Linked DNA regions of Nothobranchius furzeri. The protein of the gene in region 1 interacts with the protein of each later gene in a pairwise test. Links are inferred from orthologs where the notes say so. Each region holds a gene or a part of one and is shown on either strand. Other genes may lie near its edges.

Region 1 (3,658 bases):
GATGCAGCATAAGAAACAATTCATTCAAAGGCTGATGAGTACATTAGGGTTTTAATGACAATAATAGTAATAATGATAATAATACATTTTATTTAAAGCGCCTTTCAGGGAACTCAAGGTCACTGTACGAGAATGATAAAAGTCAAGCTAAAAGTTAAAAGCAGCAACAAATCACTCATAAAAACCCTAGGAAAACAAAACAAAAATCAGATAACAAGCTATCTCATAAACAAAATGAAGTCTGGAAAAGGTGAGTTGTTAGTTTGGATTTGAAGGTGGGAAGGGAGTCAGAGTTCCGGATGACTTGTGGCAGAGAATTCCAGGGGGGGGGGGGGGGGGGATCATCTGAAGGATCTGAGGACCATGGAGGTGGCACAGAAGAATGGAACAGTAAGGTGGATGGAAGATGACGATCTTAGGGACCAGACTAGAGAAACAGTGTGAATGAGATCAGATAGATATGAAGGACAAAAATTGTGAACAGCTTTGAAAGTGAGACGTAGGACTTTGAACTCGATCCACTGTTTAACTGGGAGCCAGTGGAGTTGCCGAAGGACCGGACTGATGTGGTGAAATAGGGGCATGCAGGTGATGACTCATGCAGCAGAGTTCTGGACTAACCGGAGCTTGTGGAGGGTTTATTGAGGTAGACCAACCAGAAGTGAGTTACAGTAATCTATTTGGGAAGTAACTAAACTGTGGATGAGAATAGAAGCTGAATGGGGAGTAAGGGCGGGGCGAAGGCGATTAATATTACGAAGCTAACCGAGTGACATTATTGATATGAGATGTGAATGACAAAGTGCTATCCAGAATGACACCCAGGCTCTTAACCTGGTGGGAGGAACAGGTAGTAGAGGAATCAATGCTAAGAGAAAAAGTTTCAGCTTTGGATAAGATGGATTTTGTACCAACAAGTAAGACTTCGGTTTTGTCACTATTAAGTATGAGGAGGTTGGAGGAAAACCATGATTTAATTTCAGTTAAACATGGGGAGAGGGAGGGGGAGAGAGTTGGGAATCGAGTTTGGAATCAAATAGAGCTGGGTGTCATCTGCAACTGAATGTTAAATTTCCAGAAAATATGACCTAGTGGTAGAAGGTAAACAATGAAGAGAAGGGGCCCCAGGATAGAGCCCTGGGGCACACCTCTAGTAACTGGGGACAGGTCAGATTTAAGTTTTGATTTAAACAACACTAAAGTTGGGGCTCATCTGAGGTTCTGGAGAAGCTGATTCCATATGTGAGCAGCATCTCTAATTTCCCTCTGGGATTAATGAAGTATCTTGAATTGAATTGAATAGCAGCTAAATGCATCTCCACCATGTTTGGTTCTGACCCGTGGTTTCCAAGGGATTTCAGAGCCCTGTTGGGTGTGTATACAGGAATGAGATCGGACATGTATTTTGGTCCCATGCCATTGAGTGATTTATAAACTAGTAGGAGCATTTTGAAATCTATTCTGTAGTTTACTGGTAACCAGTATAGGGATCTAAGAACAGGAGTGACATGCTCTGTTCTCTTAGTTCTTGTTAAGACTCTAGCAGCAGCATTCTGAACAAGCTGCAGTTGCTTCACAGCTTTTTTGGAAAGACCAGTTAGGAGACCATTGCATCCATCCTAACCTTCTTGTTGCCAAAGACAATAACTTCAATCTTGTCTTTGTTTAGCTGAAGGAAGTTTGACTGCGTCCAGTCATTCACTTGTTCTAGACACTGACAGAGTGAGTCCAGTGGCCGACAGTCACTAGGTGATAGGGCTAGGTAGATCTGCGTGTCATCAGCATAGCTATGATAGGCGATGTTGTTATTAAGTATGATCTGACCCAGGGGGAGCAATCAAGACATTATCAAAATCACTTTAGATAAAACAATCATTGTTCTATGTAATTGTAATTAACCCGTAAAGTGAGGAAAATCATTGTATAAGCAAGAATAATATTATTTTATTAAAGTTAAGCGTTCCATCTTCTGGAGGAAGACACACGTAAACAAGGCAGAAAACCAGCCTTGTTATGACAGGTTCCCAGATGGAGGTAACCCTGGTAATACTCTTCTATACTACATATGTAGTACTGGTCATACTCAATATTACTATACAAAGCAATTACTCCATAATGTTCGATATTACTATAATATAGTAATACTACAGAGTATTGCTATTCCTCATCCATTCTAGCAGTATATAAGCTCAGTACACAGAAGCAGTACTTACCCTACTGAGCGTTAACGTTGTCTCTTTGCAGACCCAACAGCGAACGCGAAGTTTTCCAGGCTGAATGGAACTGCAGCTTTTACAGTACACAAAGAAAGTACTACAGACACGCACATCTGGATACAAACAACATGTGTTTCACAAATACTAGCATTACATGTCAGGTACAAACATCTGGATGCAGAGAGTATCAACCTTTCTGAGCCTCAGCTTGCTGCTCTGATCTCTGAACTCTCTCATCAGCACAACCCTCCTCTCCTCCTGTTGCTCCTCTTGTTTTGTCTACTTCTCCTCCCGTTGCTCCTCTTGTTTTTTCTACTTCTTCTCCTCCTGTTGCTCCTCCTTCCCCTCCTCTCACATTTGCCTCTAGGATAACAGCAAGTCCTGAGGAGGTTGCTGGGAGACGAGAGGAGCTCAGGTCTAACCTGGTCAGCCTACGCTGCTCCTTCTCTCTGACTGGAGACAGGTGCTCCTGCAGGAGGAGGAGCTGGGAGGAGGAAGAGCCTGGAGGAGGGTGGACCACATGGACGGTACTCTGCTCAGGAAGGTCACAACCCTGAGAGGATGAGAAGGAGTAATGTGAGAAGTAACCACCTGGTGAGCATACCTGTAAATGGGTTAGTTGTAGGAGCTCACCTGCAGGGAGGTGGAACTCTGCAGCTCCCTGCCAGCAAACAGCACTCGGAGCTCCTCTGGACTGACTCCCTGTCGACTCCCCACCACCTCCTTGAGCTCAGCCACACTTGCCTCCTCCTGCAGCTCCACGGCCACACCAGGCCCCAGGTTGTACCGCACAAACACTGCAGGAACACAGGTGGGCCTCAGGTGAGAGAGTGCTGCAGAACTTCTAAGAATCCGTTTTTTCCTGAATTAAACCCAGCTGAAAAAACTGAGTAGTTTTTACGTTGTGCTTTGGTGCTGGTTTAGCTGCTGGACCAGCCTCGAGACACAACATTTGCTAGTGACACCTATGCTGTTGTTTTCAGCAGGGAAGGTCAAAAGAAGCTCCTGAAGTCTTCGACTGGGTTTTCTGCAGCTGGAGTCAAGCTCCCGTCCTCTTCCAGAGACCTGGAGCTTCAGGATTCTTCCCAGTGTCTCAGTTGTTCGAGGACCAGGGATCTCATTGGTCTTGGAACCACAGCCTTCTCCCTGGTGTTCCACACCTCTATGCATCTAAATAAGGAGATGTGCATGTGTAGTTCTGCTGGCTGTCTCCACATGTGTTGAGGGATAAAGCTTCTCGGCACGTCATAAGCTACAGATGCTTTTTAATGTAATAGATAATATCCTCAGTATTCATCCACCAGTGGGTACTGAGCCCTCTGTGATGACTTGCAAAGCATTTTTGAGGTTTTTTGTGGACAAAATAGTCTATATCAGAGCCCAGATTCTGTCAGACTCTTTCTGGTCCCCGCTAAGACACTTTTAGTCAGTTTGATCCGCTT
Region 2 (2,433 bases), on another chromosome or scaffold:
ACTGTGACTTCCTGTGGTTCTGGATCAGGACGCCGCGTTTCTGCAGGACCGCTGCAGACGGGAAGCATGCTGACGACTAAATCAAAGACCTTCTGAGAAGGAGGTTAGTCAGCGCGGAGAAGCGTCAGAGCGGGATGTCCGAGGGCGTCAGCACCAGTTCTTATACTGAGGAGTAATTCTACTGGATATAGTCAGTGTTGGGTTATGTTGTTATGGAGCTGAGGTTTCTCCCAGATCATCACTCAGGTTTACTTCTTCTTTTCAGACAGACATGCAATGAAGTGCATGACAACGACAGCGAGAGGGGATCTTTTCTTTTTTCTTAAGTAAACTTTTAGTTTTTAATTATACGAGAGCATTCCTTCCCCCGTCTACACACACACAGCCAGAGGAGACACGAGGACAGTGTCTGAAATGGGCCGCTTGTTTGTTTGTTTTTTGTTTAGTAAAAGAACCGCAGGAATCTTCTTACACTTGCAAATGTCGTGTTTGTAAAGAGATAATAGAGACGAAGAGTTTAAGTATCACCACAACAGTGTGTGTGCTGCAGGAGTGTATGTGTGTGTGTGTGTGTATATGTGTGTGTGTGTGTGTGTGTGTGTGTGTATGTGCTGTACACTGTTTGTTTCCAGTGGGGGTTCACTGGTGGAGTCCCAGCTGCTCGGTGCCATCAGCTGGTTCCTGAAGCTTCTCCTCCTTCAGTACTCGCTCAGGTTGTGCCATTTGGAGATCTGCCGGCGGGGGTTTTCACACACCTCCCTCCAGTGGGAGGTGCCAGAGGACGACGGGCTGTGGAGACCGAGGAGCAGGCGGCCCAGAACCTCGTTCTTGGTGGTCCGGTCAAAGTCGACCACCAGGAACTCCACAGATATCTCAGGCAGGAGTTCTGGTGGGATGTCGTAGATGAAAGACTCGTTGAAGACCGGGTTCAGTGTGCACTTTTTCACGTGGGTCTTCTTCTTGGCGATGCGCTTACGGCCATAGAAGACGTTCACCTTCACATACGGATCTGATGGCAGGAGAAGAATGTGTCAGATCATTAGGTTTTCTGCTCAAATACCAGACGTTCTGGAGTCATCCTCCTTTAGCTGAGTGGTTCTCTATATGCTGGTCTGAGCCCTGAGCTTCACAGGATGTGGTTTTGTTTGGTTCCCAGGAGGGAATTCCCCTCACTGCAGGGATCAGGACAGGAAATCAGATGAAGGAATATTAAATGAGAAAAAAATCAGGAGGGCAGCTGAACATTATTCCACCTGCACAACTTAATGCGACGTCATTTTCTGCCACACAGGACATAAGGTTTGAGAGAAGAAGAAGGAATGAAGAGTCCTAAGAGACCGTTTCAACCTGATGTTGATGGAAAAGGTTCCTGGGATCAGTTGATGCTGATCTGGAACCAGTTTAGTGATTTCCGACCAGTTCTAAGGCTGATGAAGCGCAAAGAAGTGGGTCAGATTAGGATCATGGTGGCAACCGTCCACCTGGGGTTTCTGTCTCTTATACTGACAGAGTTCCTTCACCTGGGCCTGAGCTGAGTTGGTTCTGGTTCTACTCACTGGCTGACAGGCCGCTGATGTCCATCTTAGGGAGGTGTCGGGCCTTCAGAACCACAGCGCTGAGACGATGGGACACGGGCTGGTAGGACAGGGACACCAGCAGCTCTCCACGACTCTCACACTGAAACAGAACCAGGAGTAAGTGAGTTGGGCCTGTTTTCTTTTGTTAGTTTCTCTCTCAGAACTTTTAGACACCATAAACTCACAGCTGCCGCATCTTTTCTTTTGAATAAAAACAAACACCAAGATGTTCATGGGACGTTTCCTGAGAGTCAGTTGGTCCTCGCTGACCAACAGGAGCCAGTAGAGGACCAGGATGAGCAGCATGACGCCAGAGAAGAGACTCAGAAGGCCTGGCTAATAAAAGCTTACTTTACTCAGATCAAACATGGCTGACCTGTACGGGGACTTTTACATCAGGCTATTGACTTAATCAGGTGGTTAAGTAGTGAGGGGAGCTGAAGTGATCACGACTTGTGGCGTCTTCAATACCGATAACATGAAGCATGATAAAACAATGAAGCCTAGTGACTTAGCCCCAGCTGGACAGCAGACACATTCTTCTGTAACGAGGCCTAAACCTTGCAGGATTCCAGCCGACACTAACCTGATGAAACCAGAACACAGCAGCTGATTGTCTGGACCAACCAGTCGCCATGGTAACAGCTGACAGAAGCATCAGTCAATCAGACAGAAACGGCAGAGGAGTGTTTTCACATGGCGCCACACTGACAAGATGATTGTGAGTTATTGAGTCCAACTCAACGCTGAATCTCAGCAGGACCACCATTTAGCTGAATTAAATGACCTTTGACCTTTTCCCAAAATGTCAGTAAAAGAAAAAATGTAAAGTGTTGAGTCTGAGGTGCTGAAGGAG
Region 3 (3,758 bases), on another chromosome or scaffold:
GTAGACTTCAAATGTCGTGTATCTGCCCATAACCACTTTGCTGACCACAATCCTACACATTGCGATCCCAAACAGCTGTGTTAAGTTCTAGATAGCTGTGTACATTGACTTTCATTCATCGTTTTGACCGACTATAATATCATGTCACCACTGAAACTCACCTGGTGCTTTTTCTAAATGTACCAACTCATTTAATCTGGGTGCTTCATTTGTACTTATTTATTTTGTTTTTTACATTGTTCAAATATCTTTTAGTTCACTTTGTGAAATGTTATAGTTCCAAATGGGTAGGTATAGGGCTCAGATAAAGGATCACCAAAACTCCCAAGATGCAAACTTTATCAACAAATCTGCAGAACATACCTGAAATTAAACCAACTGAGACTGAAATACTGGGAAACTTTCAATTCAATGTGGCTAAAATAAACAAATACTAATAAAAATAAACCTCTATGCAGTTTTAGGTTTGTTACATGTATGTTTGTAACAGTAAGAGCAGAATGCAAAGTCACATGTAAGTTTCTGACATGCGCACAATCTTTAACCACCAGACAATCATTTTCTAAAACCAGACCAAAATAATCAGTTATACCTATTCAACTAAACAACTAATTTAGGGTTAAGTCAGTGTTTTCCATTACACACATACAGCCCTGAGACTGATTAGCCACCACTAACTTCCGGTTAACGTTTGCTAACCGGCAAACATAAGAAACCTAAATATTACACGGCAATATCACTATGACAAATACATTTAATTTACAAAATATTACCTCAAGATACCAAGCGGACAAAACAACCGTGTTGTCACGTAATTTCTTAGCGAATGTTGCCTTTCCCGATTATTTCCTTACTCCGAAAGCTCTGGAACAAGACGTACCAACCAACATTAATGCCACTTCCGGGGAAGTAGATGACGTAGCGGAAGTTGTTCGAAGCTCGGCGCTTTTCTTCAAAGCGCCCCATCTGCTTTGGTATCTAATTTTTGTGAGTGACTTACATCTTTGGTAATAGTTTTAAATGTCATTTACGGAAAACTCTTAATAGTGAAAAACATCTACCGGAAGTCGCAGCGTCTCTTTTATTTACAGCTTCCGTGTTAATTTTGTTGTTGCTCGGCTAGCTACGTTCTATGTGCGTAGATGCTTTTGTAAAGCACCCAGGAATTAACACACTTGAAGTGAAACCTACATGTTACTTGTCTGCATTTTGATTCGCGATGTAAAAAACTGTTTATGTATTTACATGGAAAAGACCTGCCAGGAAACGCCAAAAGACAGTAGAGTGGCAGGAATTTGTTTTTCTTTCAGCTGTATTCCTTTACAAGACTCAGCTGAAAGAAAAACACTCAAAAACATAAGATGGGCAAATTATTATAAAGATACTACATTCAGAACAAAATACAGAGTCAAAGAAAATTAAAATATTATGACTTGTGTCCCTAAATGACCAGACATCACAGGAGACACAAAAACAATCTGGTGCAAAACACCTGCAAACTGTAACATTAGCTGTGTGTGTCCCCTGCTGTCCTGAAAGTAGCATGGCCTGGCCTGTTTTTGCTTGTTGACATGGCAAGTTCTGATAAATAAAATATAATTTTATGATAATATAACTGTTTTTTTGAACTCTTATCTTTTTATTTCAGTTCTGCAATGCCTCTGTCCACACAATCTCAAGGTGAAGATGAGCAATACATTTTAGTGACCAGTTTAGATAATGCCCGCAATCTCTCCAATTTACTGAAAGCGATCAGCTTTAAGGACCATGCTGTTTTCACCACAACACCCAACGGCCTGAAAGTCACCGTCGAGGACTGCAAATGTGTGCAGGCAAATGCTTTCATTCAGGTGTGTTTGGTGCTTTTTAAAAAGTTAGTATATTTTTAAAAGAAATCTTTACTTTTAGAATGAATCCCAAATAAATGACAGTTTGCTTGAAACCCTAAACAAAAGTTGTATCTCTTTAGGCAGACATTTTCCAAGAGTTCACCATAAAAGAAGATTTGATCACTTTCCAAGTTAACCTCACAGTTCTGCTCGACTGCCTGAACATCTTTGGGGGAAGCACTTCAGCAGGTCAAATCAGAAACTGAAACTCTATTCCAAACACCTGATGTACAGTTTTAAATGTTTATTTAACCATTTTATAAAATTGCAGGAATTTCAACAGCCTTGCGGATGTGTTACAAAGGGTACGGATACCCCCTGACATTATTCCTGGAGGAGGGTGGTGTAGTCACAGTCTGCAAGATTAACACTGAAGAACCAGAAGAACCGATCGATTTTGATTTTTGCAGCAGCAATGTCACGAACAAGGTTCAATCCTCTGTGAAATCTGTTGAAAAATAAGATAAAGAAAATAATATATTAGTCATTATGTAAAGAAATGTGCTATCCTTCATTAAATCACACCTGTAAAAACACTAAAGCATTTTTAATCTGGTGTAATTTTAAAGGTGATCCTGCAGTCGGAGAGTTTGAAGGAAGCCTTTTCTGAGCTGGATCTGACCAGTGAGATGCTGCAGATCACCATGTCCCCCAGCCAACCGTACTTCAGGTAGACTGTCCAAATTATACTCAGTATTTACTTCCTGGAGCAATCTTTTGCCAGCATTCCATCCACATCTTCCATCCTTGCCCCTACTAGACTCTTGAGTTTCATTTATCACAGATGCCTCTTTCTGTCTAATGGATGATCTGTTTTTGTCCAACTTTTCAGGCTGTCTACATTTGGGAGTTCTGGAAGTGCCCATTATGATTATTCTAAGGATTCAGATATGATGGAGCTGTTCCGGTGCAAGGAGACACAAACCAACAGGTGAGCGCAGTCAGGCTGTAAAAGTGCTTTTATTACATCAGTGGTGTCTCACGGTGCATGTGAGACACTATCCAGCATGTTTTAGTTGTTTCCAGCTCCAACACACTTAGTTGAATGACTAATCCTTCATTTACTCTGAGTGCAGAACGGGAGCTGTACGCATTCCTGTCAGGAAATTTACAGATCCACCCAGATCCTGATACGGAGTTATTTCCAGATGACACAGATTTTCATGAAGTTAAAGAAATTACATTAGCCAGACAGGAAGTGAGACGTTGGTGAACAAAGTGCATCTGGTATATTTTAAAATAAAATGTGTGTTGCATTGTTTTATGGCGTTTTTATTATTATCAACAGGAAAACCAGTACACAGTATAGAATAGCTCGTGTTAAATTTACAGGTATACATTTGAATGTATTGTGTCAGATTTCTTACGTGAGGTTTGGTGCTCTCGCTGGAGCAAATTTCCAGAGGTGTTCTGCTGTTGGTGTACTTGGTCCGTACAGCGGCTGTGTGGAAACCAGATTACATCCGTTCCACACCCGGTGTAAGTCACCCGATTAAAATCAGGTGTGGTAAGGCAGAAGCCTCTGAAGCATGCAGGATGGTGGCCGTCCAGCACCAGGATCAGACATCACTGTTTCACGTAAAAAAGAAAAAAAAAACTGTCACATCACTTTAGGAGGAAGTTCGTTTCCATGTTACTCAGCTCCTGATATTAGACCCTGTAGAGTTCCTGCTTCCTTATGGTGGCTGCAGCAGAGCCACGTTCATTGTCTTTCTTTGCTGCTTTCATGCATCTGTGTGTGACAACAAAAATCTGGTTACGTTTTCTTGCTCTATGTTCCTCCTCCTGTGGCAGATACAAGATGTCCTTGCTTAAGCCGTCCACCAAAGCCTTGACTTTGTCCTGTAAAGTCTCTGTGAGGACAGACAG

The links.
Region 2: the proteins of prkn (region 1) and syt11b interact in binary tests that used the Homo sapiens proteins (3 or more experiments, as listed by UniProt). The link is inferred for Nothobranchius furzeri from reciprocal best matches to the Homo sapiens genes PRKN and SYT11.
Region 3: the proteins of prkn (region 1) and rad1 interact in binary tests that used the Homo sapiens proteins (3 or more experiments, as listed by UniProt). The link is inferred for Nothobranchius furzeri from reciprocal best matches to the Homo sapiens genes PRKN and RAD1.

What each region holds. Positions count from the first base shown.
Region 1 is NC_091752.1:62,529,425-62,533,082, reverse strand, and holds part of prkn (E3 ubiquitin-protein ligase parkin), read right to left. Parts: intron 3,014-3,658; coding exon 2,850-3,013; intron 2,770-2,849; coding exon 2,409-2,769; intron 2,330-2,408; coding exon 2,214-2,329; intron 1-2,213. UniProt on the Homo sapiens protein: Functions within a multiprotein E3 ubiquitin ligase complex, catalyzing the covalent attachment of ubiquitin moieties onto substrate proteins. Substrates include SYT11 and VDAC1.
Region 2 is NC_091745.1:59,982,159-59,984,591, forward strand, and holds part of syt11b (synaptotagmin-11b), read right to left. Parts: intron 1,678-2,433; coding exon 1,557-1,677; intron 1,010-1,556; coding exon 699-1,009; 3' UTR 1-698. UniProt on the Homo sapiens protein: Synaptotagmin family member involved in vesicular and membrane trafficking which does not bind Ca(2+). Inhibits clathrin-mediated and bulk endocytosis, functions to ensure precision in vesicle retrieval.
Region 3 is NC_091746.1:58,355,281-58,359,038, forward strand, and holds the start of rad1 (cell cycle checkpoint protein RAD1), read left to right. Parts: upstream 1-897; 5' UTR 898-987; intron 988-1,648; 5' UTR 1,649-1,655; coding exon 1,656-1,850; intron 1,851-1,969; coding exon 1,970-2,078; intron 2,079-2,160; coding exon 2,161-2,318; intron 2,319-2,458; coding exon 2,459-2,559; intron 2,560-2,721; coding exon 2,722-2,820; intron 2,821-3,683; coding exon 3,684-3,758. UniProt on the Homo sapiens protein: Component of the 9-1-1 cell-cycle checkpoint response complex that plays a major role in DNA repair. The 9-1-1 complex is recruited to DNA lesion upon damage by the RAD17-replication factor C (RFC) clamp loader complex.